4 linked regions of the Drosophila melanogaster genome follow. The protein of the gene in region 1 interacts with the protein of each later gene in a pairwise test. Each region holds a gene or a part of one and is shown in the gene's direction. Other genes may lie near its edges.

What was found.
Region 2: the proteins of Fas3 (region 1) and aspr interact in a two-hybrid assay, tested with the Drosophila melanogaster proteins (one large-scale study listed by BioGRID).
Region 3: the proteins of Fas3 (region 1) and Zip88E interact in a two-hybrid assay, tested with the Drosophila melanogaster proteins (one large-scale study listed by BioGRID).
Region 4: the proteins of Fas3 (region 1) and CG13526 interact in a two-hybrid assay, tested with the Drosophila melanogaster proteins (one large-scale study listed by BioGRID).

Annotation. Positions count from the first base shown.
Region 1 is NT_033779.5:18,318,534-18,323,155, forward strand, and holds the start of Fas3 (fasciclin 3), read left to right. Parts: upstream 1-1,568; 5' UTR 1,569-2,154; coding exon 2,155-2,197; intron 2,198-4,622. UniProt on the Drosophila melanogaster protein: Mediates cell adhesion in a Ca(2+)-independent manner. It plays a role in axon outgrowth, guidance and fasciculation of the developing nervous system. Function in neurons is essential for adult survival, and is important for climbing behavior and activity.
Region 2 is NC_004354.4:20,146,299-20,154,150, forward strand, and holds the start of aspr (asperous), read left to right. Parts: upstream 1-1,825; 5' UTR 1,826-1,960; coding exon 1,961-1,963; intron 1,964-3,763; coding exon 3,764-3,938; intron 3,939-4,299; coding exon 4,300-4,538; intron 4,539-4,646; coding exon 4,647-4,728; intron 4,729-7,852.
Region 3 is NT_033777.3:15,266,965-15,271,080, forward strand, and holds Zip88E (Zinc/iron regulated transporter-related protein 88E), read left to right. Parts: upstream 1-1,697; 5' UTR 1,698-1,798; coding exon 1,799-2,047; intron 2,048-2,116; coding exon 2,117-2,376; intron 2,377-2,439; coding exon 2,440-2,641; intron 2,642-2,772; coding exon 2,773-3,151; intron 3,152-3,220; coding exon 3,221-3,231; 3' UTR 3,232-3,568; downstream 3,569-4,116. Other genes in the region: CG14864 (uncharacterized protein), read right to left, coding at 1-1,408; Cp190 (centrosomal protein 190kD), read right to left, coding at 4,079-4,116.
Region 4 is NT_033778.4:22,753,643-22,756,396, forward strand, and holds CG13526 (uncharacterized protein), read left to right. Parts: upstream 1-1,576; 5' UTR 1,577-1,682; coding exon 1,683-2,147; 3' UTR 2,148-2,254; downstream 2,255-2,754.

The DNA of each region.
Region 1 (4,622 bases):
AATTATTATGTAAGCTGTACGATCGCTCTATTTGGTAGCCATTACAAACTTCCTAAGTACTGCGTAGCTTACTATTTACTGTTCTCGCCATAAATCGAGCCTGCGTTTACATCATTCTAATCGAAGTGGGTTTCAGGTCACAGTCCCATTGCGGGCGATTCTGGGGATCTGGAACTGTGGCAAACACAGCGGAATATTTGCGGAAGAGGGAGCGGGAAACTGGGAACGGGAATCGGCAACCAGAACGAGGAGCCACTGTGCCAAAGATTCGCTCTCGGTCGGAATTTGTATGTGTGCCATTCGACAACACGACAGGCAAACAAAAGCCGGCGAAATCCAAGGAGGCGGCCGGCAAGGGGGTAGATTATCAAACGACAAATAGACAGAAATCCGGCAGTTGCAGCAGCAACGGCGACAGCCTGAAAGCAAACTTGGCCAAATCAACAACAACACCAACAATACCAGCAATAACAACAAGAGCGAAAGCTGCAACAACACAATGCACAAGAGCCAAACAAATTCAAATCAAACTAAACAACAAGAACAGCGGCGGCAGAAAGTATTACACTGTATGGAGTGCCCGTTTAAATTCTATTTACTTGCAACACATGTTTATGTCGATCCGAAATAATGTTTCTTTGTCCATCTAATTTATATTTATTGATTTGCCTAACCTTAACCAATTGGGTCGTAGCAAATTATCACGCGGTTTAAAAAAAAACATGCTTTCGGAACTTTGGGCCATTGATTCTACTGTTAAATGTACTTTTCATCTATTTAACATTAGATATTAAAAAATGGTATTAGGAATAAATCAATCCATTTGTGGGTCAAATACGACCTATTAACGGCTTCTAACTTGTAGATATTAGGTAAATAAATACTGTACAAACCCATACTCATAATATTTAAATTAGCACCATGCTAAGAAACTTTATTTGAACTCCAGTTATGACGCAAAGGAAAATAGAACACGTTAGTCACCTAAATTTTTCCACCTAAATAGATGTGTCATCAAAACCGGAGATGCAGGCTAAGCTCTAATGAGTTTGTTATTTTCAACAATTCACTTTACATTTTAAATTATAAGCAACAAAATACATATTTATTAGTGGAGCACACTGCAAAGACTGTTTTGCTAGGTAAACGTTGATTAAAAGATTATAAATTCCTAGCACCCACCCAATTCCCTGTGACCTAAATAATAATTGTAAAAATAAATTATAAAAAACTGCAGCTGCTATAAATTGAAACCATTATTTTTAGGTAGTGTGTTCAAGTCCATATACCCCCGTAATTTAAAAGTACCCTGTACACACAGTCGCTGTAAAGCGTAAACTAGAACGAGCAATGCTGCTAGCTCGTCGCGCATGTAGCGGCAGCAACATGCAGCCGCAACATCGACAAACGCCAGCAACATCCAGCGGCAACATGCAACCCCAGCGACTGCATATGTAAAAACGCATACGCCTGGTGTTCGCAGCATGCTGCCGCTGTCGCTGCCGCAGCTGGCGCCGACGTCGCGGCCGCTGCGCTGCCCATGTTGGCAACTTTATAAACACGGAGCGGATTCAGTCGTTTGGTAACTGTTGCTCCTATCAGTCGTTCTCTGTCGCTCTTGGATTGCGTGGGCACATCGGTCGTTCGGCATTTTGGGTTCGGCATTTCGGGATTTGATATCGTTATTCGTGTCGGAATCGTATAAACCTGCGTCCGTGTGCGTTAGCCGGCCATTGAGCACTATCGCTGCCACTGGCATTTGGCCCACCGTGTGTGTTTACAAGTGTGGCATAATCTTCGATTAGCGCAAACCAACCGATCGGATATACCCCTTGAAAATAACAAATAATAGCGAGGAGTTAAAAAAGCATCCAAACACACACTGCACACCCCAAAACACACACACACACCCACACGTCACATAAAAAATATAAACCAGAGCCTCAGCGGCCGTAAAGTGCCACCAAAACGTACTTGGCCGTATATTTTATGCATGAAAAGCTAAAGCAAGTGCAACCAAACGCCTGAGTGACACCAAGAAAAAAAATTCATACACACATATAAGGAAACCCAAAAAAACAAAACCGGGATTACTTATACGCTCACGCTCAGTAGAAAAAATACGCGAAGCCAAAGGAAGTCAGCAGCAAAATCATGTCACGGATCGTTTTTATATGTCTCGCAGCCATCTTAACAGGTAAGAATAAACAACGGCTCAGAGGAAAGTAAAGCCAAAGTCGCGCTCATGAGATGATATCACGCGCTCGTTTAAGACCCGCGCAAATGTGTGAAAAAGTTTAGCTTACTCTCAGATACCTATGTATATGAATAAAAAGATGCTACCCAAAAACGTGTTCTCACCTCGAGCTGTATAAAAATATCATTGTTGAACGGCAAACTTGATTGATGAGAAGACATCGCCCCGCGGGGCTGTGGAAAGTGTTGTCTTTATGAAAGTGATGATTGAGTGAAAAGTTCCCTGTCATAATATCCATGAAATTGATAGTTCCTCCTCTTTTGGCGGTTGACCCGGTTTGGTCCATAGCTCCAACTGCGCATGCTCAGAGTGTGACCGAAGCTGTTTTGAATCTGTGTCCGTGCCAAGTGTGACCTTTCGCATCTTGGGGTACAGCTGGCATTTGCCATGCGCCAGCACAGGTTGAAAAGGTCAATTACACTTTGGTCTTCTATGGTGAGTCCAACCAAATTGGGCTTGCCCGAAAGATCTTCGCCGCAGATGATTCACGGATCGTTTATTTTAATTAATCGGTTTAGTAGCTGTTTTAATGGATTTTCTTTGGTTTTGTGTTCATACGTGATAGGGTTTGATAGCTTTGTGTGCCCATAAGAGGTTTGCTTGGTTTTATGACAGTATTAGACTGTTTAATAGTTGTACTTTATTGGAACCGACTTGTGATCAATAATGTGTTTTTGAAATGTATTTTGCCTTGGAATATAATTTTGTACTATATCAATACTAGTTTCCATATTTTAGCATTGGCCCCCAATAATGTAGAATCTAAAAAAAACCTTGTAGATGGTAATACGTCTCAATATTCGCTCCACTGTAATTAGTCTTTATTTGGCTCCTTTTTTAATTTATTCTAAGTGCCGCATCTTGTGCCAGCATGCATCCTTGAAATTAGGAGACAACATCAGCATCCACTTGAGCATTACTTTCATCTCTTTGTACCACGTACGAATGCGGATATAAATTCTATGCCATCATCAAGGCCCAAAAACGCTGTCGGTTCTATTTAATTAAAATCCTTCAATGTTTCAGCCGTGCTTATTATATTGTACCCTCTTATTACGTCCTTGAAGAGCGAGAAGGATATATGGGTGCAGAGCTAGCTGGGGAAACTGAGACAGATTTCTCATTAGCTGAAAAGAAGATGCTGGTTTATGCCAAAGCCTAACAACATTAACACAACACACGGCACATGAAGCTGTTGCTTTTGCAGTTGCCTCATTACTGCCACAGCCCCTCGGCAGATTCAACCGCCCAATGGTAAAGCCACCCCCCCCCCCACAGAACCACCCACATGACGTGACTTTAAGACAGCCGCGTTTTATTCAGTTGCTAAGCCTGCCTGGAACCTTTCAAAGGTTTACGAAAATGTAAATGCAAAAACTGCACACAAAAAACCAAAATAAAGTACACCAGGAAATCCACTGCAGGTTCAACCCTTCTCCCTATCTCTTTCCGCTGTCCAGTTGCCGTCTTTTTCTAGCAGGGCTTTGCCACTTCACACTGAATACTTTTACATTTTTATAGGACTGACGCATCGCAGACATCGCATCAGTTGACTGCCGGCTGGCTGTTGTCTTGCAATTATAAATGTTTAATGCAGCTCCGGCCATGGCACCATGGACCGTTTTTTCAGACGGGCATGGGCCGGAAATTTAACTATCCGACCCAAAGGATACGCTTAAGCGTGCAAAAAAGGACAAGAGTCTCAATAGTATTTAACAATATTCTATGGGAATTGAATTTCTTGTGGTAATAGTGTTTATTAACATGCGAATATTGCCAAACGATTTATTTATCGCCACTGTTTCTGGATACTCTCCAAATGTACTTAAACTTTAAATTACTACCCCTTGAGATAACTATCCGCTTTTTTTTAAATAAAAATAAACTCTCCATGGCATACTCCACTTTCGGAACTATATATGTATATGACCAGAACCCACATAAAAATCAACCACAATTTCCTTTGCAAACTTCCCATTCAATTTTATGGACGCTCTTTGTGCAAGGATATAAAAAAGGGATGAAGGAGACACGAACTGCAACATGTGCAGCATGTAAATAAGGCATTGCATCCAAAAACCATTCACAGTAATTCAAATGGCCAAAAGGAGCTGCAGTCGTGACGTATTTAGTTATGACTGCCTCATCTAGGAGCGAACAAAAAGCGGTCCAGCATTTATGCATTTTAATGGCCACCAATTGAGGCATGTTCTATGCTATATTTTGTACATACATATATCTACATACATATATGCCATCTGGTATGGTCACAAAAAAGATCCAGGCATTGAATTAAATACGTGCAGTGTTTGCCCAGTTTGCCGCTTCTAAATGTGACTCGTCGGACAGTGACTGTTACTGCGAA
Region 2 (7,852 bases), on another chromosome or scaffold:
AGATTTGTAGGCCAAGACGGTATAATTAAGTTGGCCCAAAGAACAGGTGCCCGTATCGGTCGTCAGGTGAATTCTCATTCAATTATGGCCAATTGGCGTACGTTTCAATTTGCAGTTTAATCTGTAATATTCCCATATCGATTCGATTTGCGGAGCTTAAGCGATGCCATTCAATGATGCCATTTCATTTGAAAATGGTAGTCGATTGCAAATTGGCAAATGGTCATTATCTTATTGCTATAGGTCAAACCATCTCTATTATTCATTCTAACCAATGCCCACGCAGCCAGCAGAAGTCAAGATTCTCGTTTTAATTGGCTCGATTCCAGTGCAGATTCGTTTGTTCTTAATCCGTTCTTTTTGATATCGAATGAAAGTGGAGCCGGTCTTGCTAAGCTTATATTTTAAACTCGAATGCCATTGAAATGGACTTAGGAAACGGTAGAGTGAGTTAGTGAAGATGTTCAATGAAATACCCAATTGGCTTATTGTGTGGTATGAGTGAATCGGAATACCTCAAGCTAATCAAGAATATTTACGGCCTCTCAGTTTTTTTTTTTTTTCAAATTTTATTTTCTTTCATTTATGTATATTCTCTTTTCGCTTACTATTTGAACGGAAATGGGCGATTTTTTGTTCTCCTCAATTTCCGACATATTTCAGATTGAAAAATATGTAAATTCGTGAAATTAATTAAATTTTGTAATGCGATTATCTACATATATCTTATGCCCAATTAAGAAGAAATAGAAAGAAGAAAAAACCTTAGCGAAATGACCATATTGAATATTTCCCCCAGTTAGTAGTAATAGGCATCCGGTGCGGATAAGATACATTCTGTTTGAAGAATCGGTATAAATTATAGTATAATAGATTTGTAAATTTAAATGACATAACTGTCTTTTAAATCCTACAAAGATAAAGAGTCGCTTAGTTTTGGATGCTTTCAGAAATATGTGTGTACATATATTACCAGGTACCGCCTAGTACTAGCGACCTGCCCATTGTGTCAAGTGGGCAATTTCTTCGTTCACAGCCAAGTTGCCTACGATCCGGAGCCGTGTTTAGTAGGAAGCCCAGCCAAGTTCGACCCACGGCACTTGGATGCAGCGGCCCACGCAGAAATCGAGCCATCATAGCAAAGGCATGACCAAAACAATCCGAAGCAAAGTCGCGTCAAGTACGCGTATATAAATAGCCCGATGCCCAGGCAAATATATGTATATATATGTATATGTATGTGTGTACGAATGACTCAGTCTGAGAAGCGATTTGGACTGAAATGATTTTAGCTAAAATCGAGCAGCACAATATACAAAGTCAACAAACAGCAAAACAAGCTTGTCAAACAGAGTTATGAGACAGAATGCTGGTGCATTGGGAAAAATAGTTTTCCAACTGACAGGCTGAACAAATATATATAACTAAATTAACTACTTCATCAATTTGATCTACTGCTTTCGTTACTCGAAATGTTTCTAGTTTAGCAAGTTGAACTTATGCAGACATAATGGTAAATTAGTTATAAAACTAATGAATTTGGTAAATTCCGATCTTTATTTTGTTAAAATTACAACAACTATTGGATGCTACTACCTGAGGAGAGATAATTTACTTTACAAATCTTTAATATCAAGCTATACTATAGTTTTTTCTCTGTGTAAGTGGAAGGGTTGTGGATGCGGGGTAGAGGGGAATTCGGGAAGGGAAGGTGAGCAGATCAGAGCAGAGCAGAGCAGCTGAGAGATGACGCCAACGTCGCTCAGCTGTTTCTCGGCCAAGTTAAGAGTTGCGGCCTTATAAATAGCCCAAGCTCGTCTAGAAGCCGACTCAGTTGAAAGCGAAGCGTGCCAAGTGGGAAATCGCAACCATTTATCAGTTGACACTTTTTGTTTTGTTTTTTATTTTACGTTCTTTATCTGCTGTAGTGCTAGTGTTTTCTAAGAACTGAACCCCGAAAATGGTGAGTTGCAGTGGGAATAACCAAAATCAATATGTATATATAAACGTGTGTTAAGGAATATATCCTTTTTTTTTTTTAAATCATCTAAACTGAAGCAATCTATCAACGATGGATAATTTATAAACAATTTTATAAAAGTAATAAAAATGGGTTCGATTTAAGGAAAGAATCTGAATCACGAATAAGTATATAGATTTAAACTTGCACATTTATTTGCTGTTTATTTTCTTCACCGCGAAAACTTAAGTGAAAAAATTACGCACAAAGGCAATACATAAAATATGCATTCAGTAAATGATACGTGAATGGAATATTGATGTACTTAAAGCAAACACGACAAAAAAAATATTCATTTCACAATGTAAGGACTTAACTTTGCTATTTGCTATTTACTTCCGGCTAGATGAATAGTGGTGAATGGATTTGCAAATACATCGAATGAACCAAGAAATATTCCCACATACTCGTAATGTTTCTGAAGCCCACGATCGGTTTATTCTTTTGAGTGTCTTCGATCTGCCTTTTATCTGCCCATTTTTTTGTTTTTTTTGGCGATGATCAATCACTCAACGCTTTTTAAGCTGCCCAAGTAAACATCAAGCCCATTATTCATTTGTTTGTGCACAAAGCCAAAAACACAAACCAATTAGTTTCTAGCACTTTAGCATAGCTTGTTATTTTAATTGCCATTACGAGAAGAGTAAAAAGTCCAATAGATTTGAATTGTTTACCTTTTTACCTACTTATGTTGAGCACTTAACATTTTCTTGCTCATTATTTAAATTTAGAAAGCATTAATTTAATCTAAACTCTGACAGGTTTTACGTTTTATTTAACTAATTCAAGATTGAACAGATTATATAGTTGACTATTTAGTTCTCGCCCTTCCAAAAGCAATTATTTAAATGTACATATGTATGTACATATATAATATAACAAATATGGCTCTGATTCACTTCACTTCCCTTGCGCAATGTAATCAGATTATAAATCACCCTGCAAGATGTGTGATTTAAGAAAAAAATCCAATTTCCTCCCTCGGTGGATCCATCCGTGCCATTTACGCGATGATCGACAACTTAGTTGATACGAACATGGACTACCATATTGGTCATTCAGAGTAATTCGAAAAGGCAGCCGACCCCCATTTGCATATTCTTATTGTATGCCGATATTTGAATAATTGTTTTTAGCCCGAATTGAGCTTCCAAAGAAGCGGACAACAAGTTTATCACCCATGTGTCATTCGCCAACAATGATCGCCACCTTGAGAGCGAAGCCATATCATCATCTCGATCGTCTCGTCTCGTCTCGTCTCATCTCCATGCCCAGTTAGCCCAAACATGGTGCCACCAGAATCCCACTGACCACTGAGAGTCCAAGTCCAAGCCAATGTTTGCTACCAAACAGCGGATCATCGAGTTAGTCATGTTTATTGGGCTTTTTCAGAACTCGAATGCGATTATGACACATAAACCGGCAAAGGGGGCGTGATACTCGCTTCTCGATTGAGATGTTTGTTCATATCGAATACTTTAGTGAATGAATCCCAATCCAGTTCAAACTCATTTCATTCGACTGGCTCTACGATTGACGCAGAATATGACATTTATCTTTGTATTACCGTTGTCTTTTATTTAGTTTCGTTACTAATGAGAACTAGTGAATGCACTCCATTTGGAGTTACTTCAAGTTAGTATTCAAATATATTCAAATATTATATTCATCTTAGATCGGTATCGTATTGAATTTAAATTCAAGTGATAGCAGCACTAATCGCAGCTGATCCTTCTCTTGCAGCAGCAGCTCCTGGTCGTGGCCCTGGTGGCGGTGGCCATCGCGTCCTTGCCCCAACTGGCCGCAGGTAAAAAGCTGGGGAAGCGCTGCGTGAACTGCACGTACCGCACTTACTACACCTACGGCGATGGGCGATCCCTGCAGCGGGTTGTCTATAGAGATCCGGTCTACACACGTGGTATTTACACAGCTTGCCTATCAGTATCCGTATTCGTAGTCTTACCGCACCAGCACGATGTACATAGGAGGAGAGCACCGCCGCCAGCACCCTGACCCCTGACCCTTGACCCTTGATCCTTGACCATTGACCCCGCGCCCCAAATGTGTCTGCAGTAGCTAACCCCTAACCCCTAACCCCTATATATATATAGTATAGTATATAGTATAGTATAGTATAGTATAGTATAGTATACATATGTATGTACATACCATACTCGTAGTAGCGTAGCATTAGAGATTAGATTGAGACACAAGTTCACCTGCGCACCAGTGCATCACCTCACCGCCTGTGCCTCTCTCCTCTCCTCTCGCCCACACAGCGCAGTCCTACGCGAGCGGATGCAGCGGTAGCCCGTGCGGCGTGAACGCCGTGTGCCAGGAGGCCTCCGGAGGACGGCCCGTCTGCTCGTGCCCGCCCGGATTCAGCGGTAATCCGCTCACCCACTGCAATCGCGGCGAGTGCCTGGACAACGTCGACTGTCGCGACAACCTGCAGTGCAAGGACAATCGCTGCGTTAATCCCTGCGTGGGTGCCTGTGGCATTGGCTCCAATTGTGACGTAAGTGGGACTTTTATGTCGCCAACACTCCTCCACGGCCAACTTCTGGCGCATTCCCTCGCATTCTGACCATCGGCACTCTACGCCACCTCCGCTTGCTCTTTCCAGGCCCGCAACCACGTGGCCGTGTGCAGCTGCCCCGCCGGCTACAATGGCGACCCATACCACGCCTGCCACCTCAACGATCCGGGTAAGTGCCTGACCACTCCACTACCGCCCACATGCCGCGGGGTAGGCGTGGCAGAGCTCAAAATCGATTAAAATGCCGGGTGTCATAAGAGTCGTTCGCTCAACTGGGAGCTGTTGAAATCAATCCGCTTCGATTGTGTATTTCGTTTCACGATTAAATAAATTAATTAATTGGGAAATCTGAGAAATGCACAATTTAAAGATATATGTACTAGTAGATGATCGAATCAATTAAAAGCTCTTAGTTCTTAACGCGCACATCTTAACATTGATTATGTACTAATAATATATGAATTACAATCATCAGCTGGTTAAAATTTTAATTAGCTAAAAGATGCAAGTGATCATACATGTATGTACATACATAGTGTGGATGTGAAAACCAAGCCGAGAAATAAGCCTTGACCACTTGAATTAAATCAAGGGCAAACAGGTTTCTTTACTGAGTTACATAACAATGAGATGAACCAAGAGGAGCGGAGTGTTTGCAGTGTTAAAATTATTGGCAATACACGAATGCACTTGAAAATTGGCATAATGCAATGCCTTGTCTAATAGAAAAATTTCAAACTAAATGAACACATAGATCGCGACATATTTGTAAACAATTTGTAAACAACTCATGTTGTTTATTATGTTTTATTTATTATTATTATTTTTTTTTTGCATTAATGCAAAGTGGACATACGACTGATTGTTCCGGAAATGCATAGATATAGACATGGATTGACATAGGTACATCGATTAATTAGCCCACTCGCGAATCCCTTCTCCACAATGAGGTGCTAGATAAGTGGCAAGATGACGTCGCAAATCCAAGTGGTATTGCCAAATTTGGTCAAATCTAGTGTATTGACAAAAACAGGGGGCTGGGCCTCTGGACAGCATGTGGGTTTACCTTGCTTGCATAACATTTTGCACTCGATGATAATGAGAATTATAATAATAATAATAATAATCCAAAGCCAACGGCCAACGCCCAACACTTGGGGCCTTTGTAATTTTATGGTAATTAGCATAGCATTTCGCTTCGCAATTGTCAAGATCAAGGACGCAGTGGGCGAGCTCTCAAGGCCAACGAGTGTCCGTAGTCGAGCCTAGTAGAGCTGGAATCCGACGGAACCGAAAGGTGGCCCCGGTTAGGCACCAGTCAACATCCGATTATGGTCATAAGCTGCGCAGGTCGGCCAGCTACCATTCAGGTAGCACAGGTCGGCCGAGTGGCTTGGGAATTTCGCTGGAAGAAGACAACTTGATCCACCCGGGGGCTACACTGCAAGAAACTGATTGAAAAATATCATCTTTAGAACGACAAACTGAAGCACACTGAACGTAATTTGATCGGCTTAAATATTTAAGCGTTCTAAATGGGAATAGTAACATTTCCAAACACTTCATATTCAGAACTTGCCATAAATAGTGGCTAAGCGCAGGTTCCGTCATTAGTTGAAATAATTCCTGCTGGGAATTTCTTAACTATAAATATTAAAATTAACACATAATTGAAAGCTTTTTTCTAAATTGTGACCGTGAAAGTTGAGCGGTGTAAATGTCACTAGGACCTGCTTGTTTATTACCAACATTCTGGCTTTTATACGAACGGACAAACGCACATGTTCAAAAGGCAAATTAACTAGAACTTCTAACCAGGAAATTATTTGATGGGTGGGGGGGGGGGGGGGGTCTTCTACCTCAACGAATCTATTATATTCCTTAACTTTTAACGCCAATATTGAGCTGCTAAATATTATCTTTGGCTTGAATTTCTTTAAAATAAAGTCAGTTGAAAACCAATTTCAATTGCTGTCCGTCCAAGAGTCGGCGTCAATAAATTGCATCTCTACGTTGGTTGCTCATTCGGGATTCGTGTCGAGTCCAAGGGCCTGGCATTTCTCGCCCCTTTTCCGATTTCTGCATCTTAACTGGTCCTCCGATATACATATATTCTTGATTTCACTTAAATCCCTTTCTGTGTTGCCTTTACTCCGGCCTCCGTTTGCGTGCAATTCCCATTGAAATACAATATTTATTTGCATTTCCAATTAGCAACTGACTTGGAAACAATAATTGCAAACGAACAGTCTGCGGGGAATGGAAGTAGCTCGGATTCCCTGCTCCATGATGTTCCCTGCTGCCGCCCCAAGGACACCGGATTCTTTTCCATTCATGTTCCTGGGGAGCCGAAGCAGTTGCGATTCCCTTTGGGCGTGTTGCAGACCAACTGAAAACATTCACGGACATTTGCCTTAAAGATTTCGTGCAGGAATACAAATGAATTGCTAACATTTAAAGGTCCACAATGCGTTTGCCACGCCGATAATAAAAAATAACTATTTGGTTAGCTATATATTTCGAAGAAAATCTACCAATACATCGATTTAATGTCGACGACGAGCATTTCCGACTTTCGTTGCAAGACATTTTGCAATCGATTTTCAAAACCGAACTCCACATTTCATTACAATACATTTTCCCGGCGCGGAAAAGTTGCTGCTTCTCGCAAATTATGTCAAAAGGAAATGTAAGAGAAAAGGCCTGATAATGGCGAAACTTTTGCCATCGGAACGGAAAACAACGCAAACTAATTTCTTGACTTGCTCACCGCACCACCACCATCATCATCATCATCATCATCACCATCATCATCATCATCATCTTGAACGACGAGTAACAACAATTGGTGCAAAAATAAAAGAAAATATGGGGTAAAAACCAAAAATATGCGCATAAATGAGCCCGGCTATTTGAATATGATTTTCTATTTGCCCACTTTGAGTGGCCGGCCCCCAATTATTGGCCCCATTGGAGGTATTTTCCCGATTTGACCGGAACACAAGTCACATGACCCGGCATAAATCAAAAATGGGGCAGCAACAGCGGATGTTGACAGGGGCCACAACCCCCAACGATGGTGAAAGGTGAAAGGTGAAAGGTCGGGTGGAAAACAACTTCCTTCGTCGGCCGATTGAACTTTTCATAGACTCAACTAAATCGACACTTGAACTTGGCAATATAGCACTTACTTACTGAAAAGTCTTGCTCAGATGGAAATGAATCCATCATCGCCATGCCGCATTCAAAATATACTGTTGCAGACAGCTTTGTGGGCGAGTCTACGACACTGC
Region 3 (4,116 bases), on another chromosome or scaffold:
CAAAATTACTCTTCGTCTTGCTATCTAGTGTACTCGCATCCTGCCCTGGGTTGGGGCTGCAATCATTCAAAGGACTCTCCTCCAGGACCAGAACATTGGTCTCGTTCGAGGATCGACAAACTCTGTAATTGGGCTTGTCGATTTCCGGGAACACAGCTCGCTCATCATTTTCGGTCAGATCGGACTCTTGAACGCAAATCTCTGGAGGCGGCGCCATGGGACGTTGCTTCGCCGGAGAGCAGCACCCATCTTCATAGTCATTATTCCGGGTGCCGTTCATAAGCAGCACGTTGATTGCATTTGAAGTTCTTCTCTCGCCGCCGCCACAAGTAAAGTTATTCGAATTATTGGTGTATCCGCCAGATAAACCTGTCGCTGAGCTTCCAGTTTGATGGCTGAACGAGCCGGTCATCTTGGTTCGCCTAACAGGCGAAGAGCTCTGAGTCTGCAGCGTCACCGTTGAGCACTGCACTTCCTGATCCTTCAATTGCTGGGTGATGCACGTCTGGCAGCATTCGCTCTTCAGCTCCGGCTTTTTCTTCGTATTCTGCTGGTTCATCGAACTTTTAATTTTGTTGTTACCTCGTGAAGTTGGCGATACCGGGTAGTTCGGGCTACTGCGGAAATCATCTGCTACAGTTTTTATGTCCGTTGTCCTGAAAGCTGGACAAGTGAGACGTTCACAGGAACTCTGTTTTTTTGGGCTGCCTTTGGAATTATCCTTTCTTTCTTTATACTCTTTATTTATACTTTGTTGGCTGCCTGAATCCTCTTCTAGAGGGGCTACCGCTTTTTTGATCCCTTGCACTGGACAGAAACTACAGGTGCATCCATCACAGGTGCAGTTTACAGCTCCAAAGGTCGGTTTATTTACCCTTGGGCTTAATTTCATAGGTGGATTATTTTTGTTCTCTAAGTTTGTGGCCCTTGTTTGTGGATTGGGATACTTCTGTCCCATTTGGGTGTATGTATTGCCCTGGAACATGCTGTTGCAGGTGTTTCGAAAACGACAGCAACCATTCGTACATCTGTTCGCGCTGCTGAATTCCTGCCTCTCCGAGCCGAGACTCTGTTTGCTTTGGTTCTGGATCCGCTCGTTAGTCTTTTTGCTGATGGAATAGCCATGGCCAGCGTCCGATGCCGAAGAGCTCCACCTGCTCCATTCCTGCAGGCCAGCTTGAGTCCTTGCCCTGCCAGCAGCACGAGACGAGCTCTCCGATTCCGAACCTGATCCGTGGCCATCCAAATGGGAGGCGCAAACGCATCCGTGCCGGCATAGCGATTCGGGGTCGACGTCAAAACTGCTGAGGTTGGCCAAGTTCTGCCACCGGCGAGCCTCCGACATGTTGCGCGGGTAGACGCACTGCTCGCCCGGCTCCTGGCCACAGATTATACAACGACGATGCATTTTCCAACGGACAACCAGGACGGAAACGGTAAAATTTTGAATTTTAACTACAGGAGCATTTGTCGAAGTGCAAAACTATAATTGGAGAGGGTGCCTACCTTCTTTTATTGAAATTCTTAATGGTGGTGGTTGGTAAAAGAATAGTTCTAGATTTAAATGTTTAAATAAAATTAAAAAAAAAAAAAACCGTTTAAATGAGTGTGATCTGAAAGGCGCACTGCTGAAATGCCTTACTTTTCTGTGGCCCCCCCATTGTAAGGCGTTTTGGTATTTCGCACGAAAGCAGCTGCACACACTTCGCAACTGTTTAGTTTAAAAATAGTAAATGCAACGAACTTTTGTGTGTTTTACTGGCCCCCTTCTTGATGACACAGTCTGGCAGTTGATACAATGAGCTTGCCAACCGACGGTCTAAACATGGAGATCACCCCAAGCCCCACCCTGGCTGCCACGAGTCGCGGCGACTTGGAAAAAGTGCTGGCTATGCTGGTCCTCGGACTCGGGAGTCTTTTGTTCGGATTGCTGCCCGCCTTTATATCGGAACGGAATCGTCGCCGCTTCCCGCTGACCGCATCCCTGCTCCTGTGCTTCGGAGCGGGCATTCTGCTAGCCACCGCACTGGTGCACATTCTGCCCGAGGTAAGAGCTTGGACTGCGATCGTGTGTGTGGCTGCAATTTGATAACCTGCTGACTTACGCATGCAACAGGTGCGCGAACAAATGGACTCGAAATTCGCTGAGGTTGCCATGTGCGGCGGGTTCTTCATCATCTACTTTATCGACGAGTTCATACACTACTTCTTTGGCGAGGCCATTCAGCACACTCATGCCCACGATGCAGAGACTCCAGCAACCGAGCCACCAAGACGTCCCACTAATGACAATGGTTATGGCGCAGTGGACGAACGAGCGCCCCTTTTATCAGCGGAACCCAATACGTCACATGGGCATTCGCACCATCATAGCCAGTAGGTTTATTGCATTTCCCTTCCCGCAGCCAAAACTAATTGCTTTGTGCTTCGATTACGCAGCGATCATGACCACAATCACCCGGCCAGCGCATCTGGCTGTAATGATGCCAGTGTAGAGGACGCCAACGCCCGCATCTGCCACACCAGCCACACGGAACCCTGCGCCCAATCCATGACAGGCACTCTGGGTCTCTTTGTCGCCCTGTCACTGCACTCGGCCATCGAAGGACTCGCCATCGGCGTTCAGAACTCTTCCACAAAGGTCTGTGCCGCCTGCCTTGACATAGTTAGACTAGATCGGCTATAGTGCGCAATCTTAGGCAAATATTGAAGCAAAGAGATGCGAGGGCTTAGTCCAATTAGATAACCGGAATCTGCTTTGTCTCGTCGTAGGTTCTGTTTCTTCTAGGGGCCGTCGCCTGCCACAAGTTCGTGATGGGCTTTTGTCTGGGGCTCGAGTTCCGCTCGAATCCGCAGACGAGTTTTCGCGCCCAGTTCGTCGGCATTTCGGTGTTTGCCCTGGGCGCCGTCATTGGCATTGGCCTGGGCATGCTTATCGTGGACGTGCCCGCCGCTTGGTCCAGCAAAACTCTGCCTATCGTCCAAGCTCTGGCCGGAGGCACACTCTTCTACGTCACCGTCTGCGAGGTGATACCGCGCGAGAAGGCGCGCTGGCACTCGAACTCAACGCGACGCTGGGCGGGATTTGCACAGTTTGCAACTGTGCTCGCCGGCTTTGCGACCATGTGCATCATAAACTTTTATCTTTCTGGTGCGTAGCATTATGTGATTTGCATTTCCCTTTCGACATTGCTGACCTATTTTCTTCGCGCCTTTTCAGATGAGGATTAGACATCTTTTCGTTGAGAAATCGTTTCAGCGCTGTGAGAAAATGTGCCGCTTTTTAAACTTAGAACACTTAGGATAATATTATGGATTGGCAGCTGTTAATCTCTTGTGTAAGACTTGTTACTTGTGCATTTCCAACTAATCTTGTTTTAGGTACATTGTCGATCTGCCGTAGGATAAGTAAAAAGTTCAGTCTTCTCGTCTACATTTATATTTTCTCTTTCTCCAAAGTTTGTGTTATTTTTTATGCTTTTATTATATGTAATAAACCTTACAATTAAGTTGTTAATCAAAAAAAGGGCATCCTCTTTTCCTTTTGATTAATCTTACTTAGCCAACCATTAAACGCAATCATTTTATTACTTTCTGGGGACATCATGTCACTGTTTTAAACGAATTAAAACAACATCTATGTAACTACATCTCTATATGTATGTAAATAGGCATATGTGTATATATATATATAGTGTTTACCTAATCGTGAAATGTTGCTTGGTTGCTCTATTGGTGGTGTATGTGTGAAGAAACGGACACTCATAAATAGCTAAATGTTGGGTTGTTTGGTCTCTGATCTCTCATTTAAGGTCATTTGGGGAACTCCTCTTAGATTTACGATTTTCATGCTAGCAGGGCAACATACTTGGGATGGGAGGGGATTTACAATTACGTGAGATGAGTAGATTAGATCTTATACACTTAAACCAGTGCATATGCATATCTTATCATTCACCTTGATCTTCATTAACAATTTAATTTACAATAGAAACCGAAAATTCGCGCCGAGCTCAGGTGCGTTTATCTGCTGACCTGCGTTGAATCGCCAAACTTAGAACATAAATAAATCTAGTAATTATAGCTCCTCCTTCGCCGCCGCACTAACCCCATTCT
Region 4 (2,754 bases), on another chromosome or scaffold:
TTTGCGCTTGTCGGCGTTAACAAGCCACAGCCATGCGTTTAACTAAGCGTAAATGTAACAGTGTGTGTGTGTGTGTGCGGAAGGGTAAGGGGGTGGCGGTTGAGGGGGAGTAGATCCTGTCAGCGTGTGACTAAAGTGTGTTGGTGTGTGTGTGAGTGTGTCGGTGCGGTTGGGTAGCAGCAACATTGTTGCAAAATGATTTTGAAAAAAAAAAACCATCAATAACTCAAATATAATGACAGTTTTCCACTTGTTGTTGCCCGTCACAATCACCCGCCGCCCCTAGCTGCCAACCACCACCATCCCCCGCCCCTAAGTGGGGCTAAATGGATGAATAACTTAAGCCAGCTGCTTCGCCTTTCCTCTTAGTGTGCGATGTTATGTAATGTAATAACGTCAATCAAATTTAAAAAGGCAGACCAACTATTTCAAAATCAATTTTCCTGAGACCCCGCCCCAGCGCCCCTTCGCCATTGCGCCCCCACCCCCTTTTCATGGAAGCGGTGGGAATGTGGAAAAGTGGAAAGGCAGCGGAAGGAAACAGGAAAGCGAGCTCGGCTTAAGCAAATACACAAGCACAAGTTGTTGCAGCATCAGAGGAATCCTGAGTGGGCTGTTGCTTGTGGAGCGGAGGAAGTAGGCTAATGTAGCAGAAGAAGACTCCGGACTCAGTCACTTTGCAAACAGTATCCCCCACTAAGCTCTGACTAGCGAAATTTGCAGCCAGGCACCGTGACACCGAGTGAAAAAGTGCCTGCCATGGTTAAAGTTGGGTTTAAACTTTTGACTGGCCGTGGCGCGTGGTTTTTGCCCCCGGGAGAAATGTATCATTCGTGTCATTAATCATTCGTCATGTGGGACGGCGACAACATTTCATTTGCTTATCATCCGGCTCAAAGTCTTTGGGGGAATGAACGCAACAAGAGCAGGCCTCAAAGTTGAATGAATCAAATGGGCTGTCGGAAAACTTATTTCTAAGCCTAGAAATCCCTGACAAGTCAGTGGCTTCGCGTCCCCTGCGATTGTAGGGATTTGAGGAGGCGGAGGTAGAAGCATTAGACAGAAGGTGTGGTTAAATAAATGTTTTCTTATTTGCTGAAATTACAGCAGTCTTAATTAGGATTTTCTCAAAAATATTTCACAGTATGGTTGAAATTTAAAAGTCCAACTATGATAGCATTTATTCAATATAATTACTTGAAACTGGACAGGGATTACAAAAAATCCTTTCAGCTAGTACAAGAGCATCCTTTCAATTTATATGCCCGCTTGATTTTTTATGGCCAGCACTCCACAGCACAACTACTGCCCATCATCATCATCATCGTCATCTAACATCATTCCTGTCCCATGGACGGCCACTCAAAGGCAAGCGCTGAATTGACAAATTGATGGATGGTTCTCCAAACGTTGCATGCTTCAGCATCTCTGCTTTCCTTATTTTTTCCCTTTATTGCCCCTTGTACGAGTATATGATGCATTATTATTCCGGAAAAGTTTGTGACCGCAACAACAACAATTGCTTGCCTAAGTGTTTTATTAGCCATCGAGAACAGAGTTTGAGTTCGGTTGAGTTGAGTTGATTGTCAGTTTTCATACACATCGGTTTTTCCCCATTTCTCCTTTTTTTTTTTGTATTCCTGATTTTCCTGAACTACTTTAGGGTTTTATTTGCTAGTGCCATGCCTTCTTTTTCCGGCAATGAGCTGACGAATGAGCATATCGACGAACTGAGGGATGCCTTTGAAAAGTATGATCTGGACTCGAATGGCACATTATCAGCCAACGAGGTGCGACTGGCTCTAATATCAGTGGGTTACGAAATCACTGAGGCAGAGTTGTACGATCTCATCCATTCGGTGGCTGTGAGAGACGAGGAGAGGCTGGACTTGAAAAAATTTATACGCATGATGGCGCCCCGAATGGCCAATGTGGATAGTGATAAAAGTCTATGCCGGACCTTTAACATGATTGACCGCGATCGCGACGGCTACGTCACCGTCCAGGATGTTCGTGCCATTATGGTCGTCCTGGGCGAAGTCGTAACCGATGACGATATTAAGGATATCTGCCAAGCAGTCGATATGGATGGCGATGGTCGCATAAGCTTGCGCGATTTCGTAGGCTTTATGCACAGCCCCATTTGAGCTGAGACAGCAAGCAAAATTGAACATTTTTCATACAGAGTAAGCAAACAAACAAAAATGTATCTCACAAATCTATTGTAGATTATAATAAAAATTATTGTTTTCATAATTATTAATATATTTAATTTTTGTGTAAAAAGCCAGTCAGTGTTTATGAATTTTCGTTTAATTTTATAATGGTTTTTTTTTTATTTAAAATGTTCTTTATTTTGTTTTTAGTAGGGCTTAATGTTTGAAGTACTTAAAAATTGAAATTCAATACATAGACGTACATATATTTCTGCCTGCTGGCAGAAAAAACGAAGGCGGCTGAATGGAAAACGGAAGGAAAAAATTGAGAGCATAAAGCCAGAAATTAATTCAACAGCACGTTTCGTCCATTAAGCCGCCAGAGCTTTGCTTGCTGACTTTGCCATCCTTTCGCCACCGCCCCTGCCACTCCCCCTGCAGGACATGGACATGGACACATGTGCAATGGCCGCACACACAAACACACATGCAAAGTGTTGTGTAAACAAGTCAGCTGCCAGTTGGCTGGGCGCTGCAGGCGGGGCTCACAGTAGGGGAAGAGCTAGAAGATGAAGAAGGAGCTTATCCAGAAGGAACG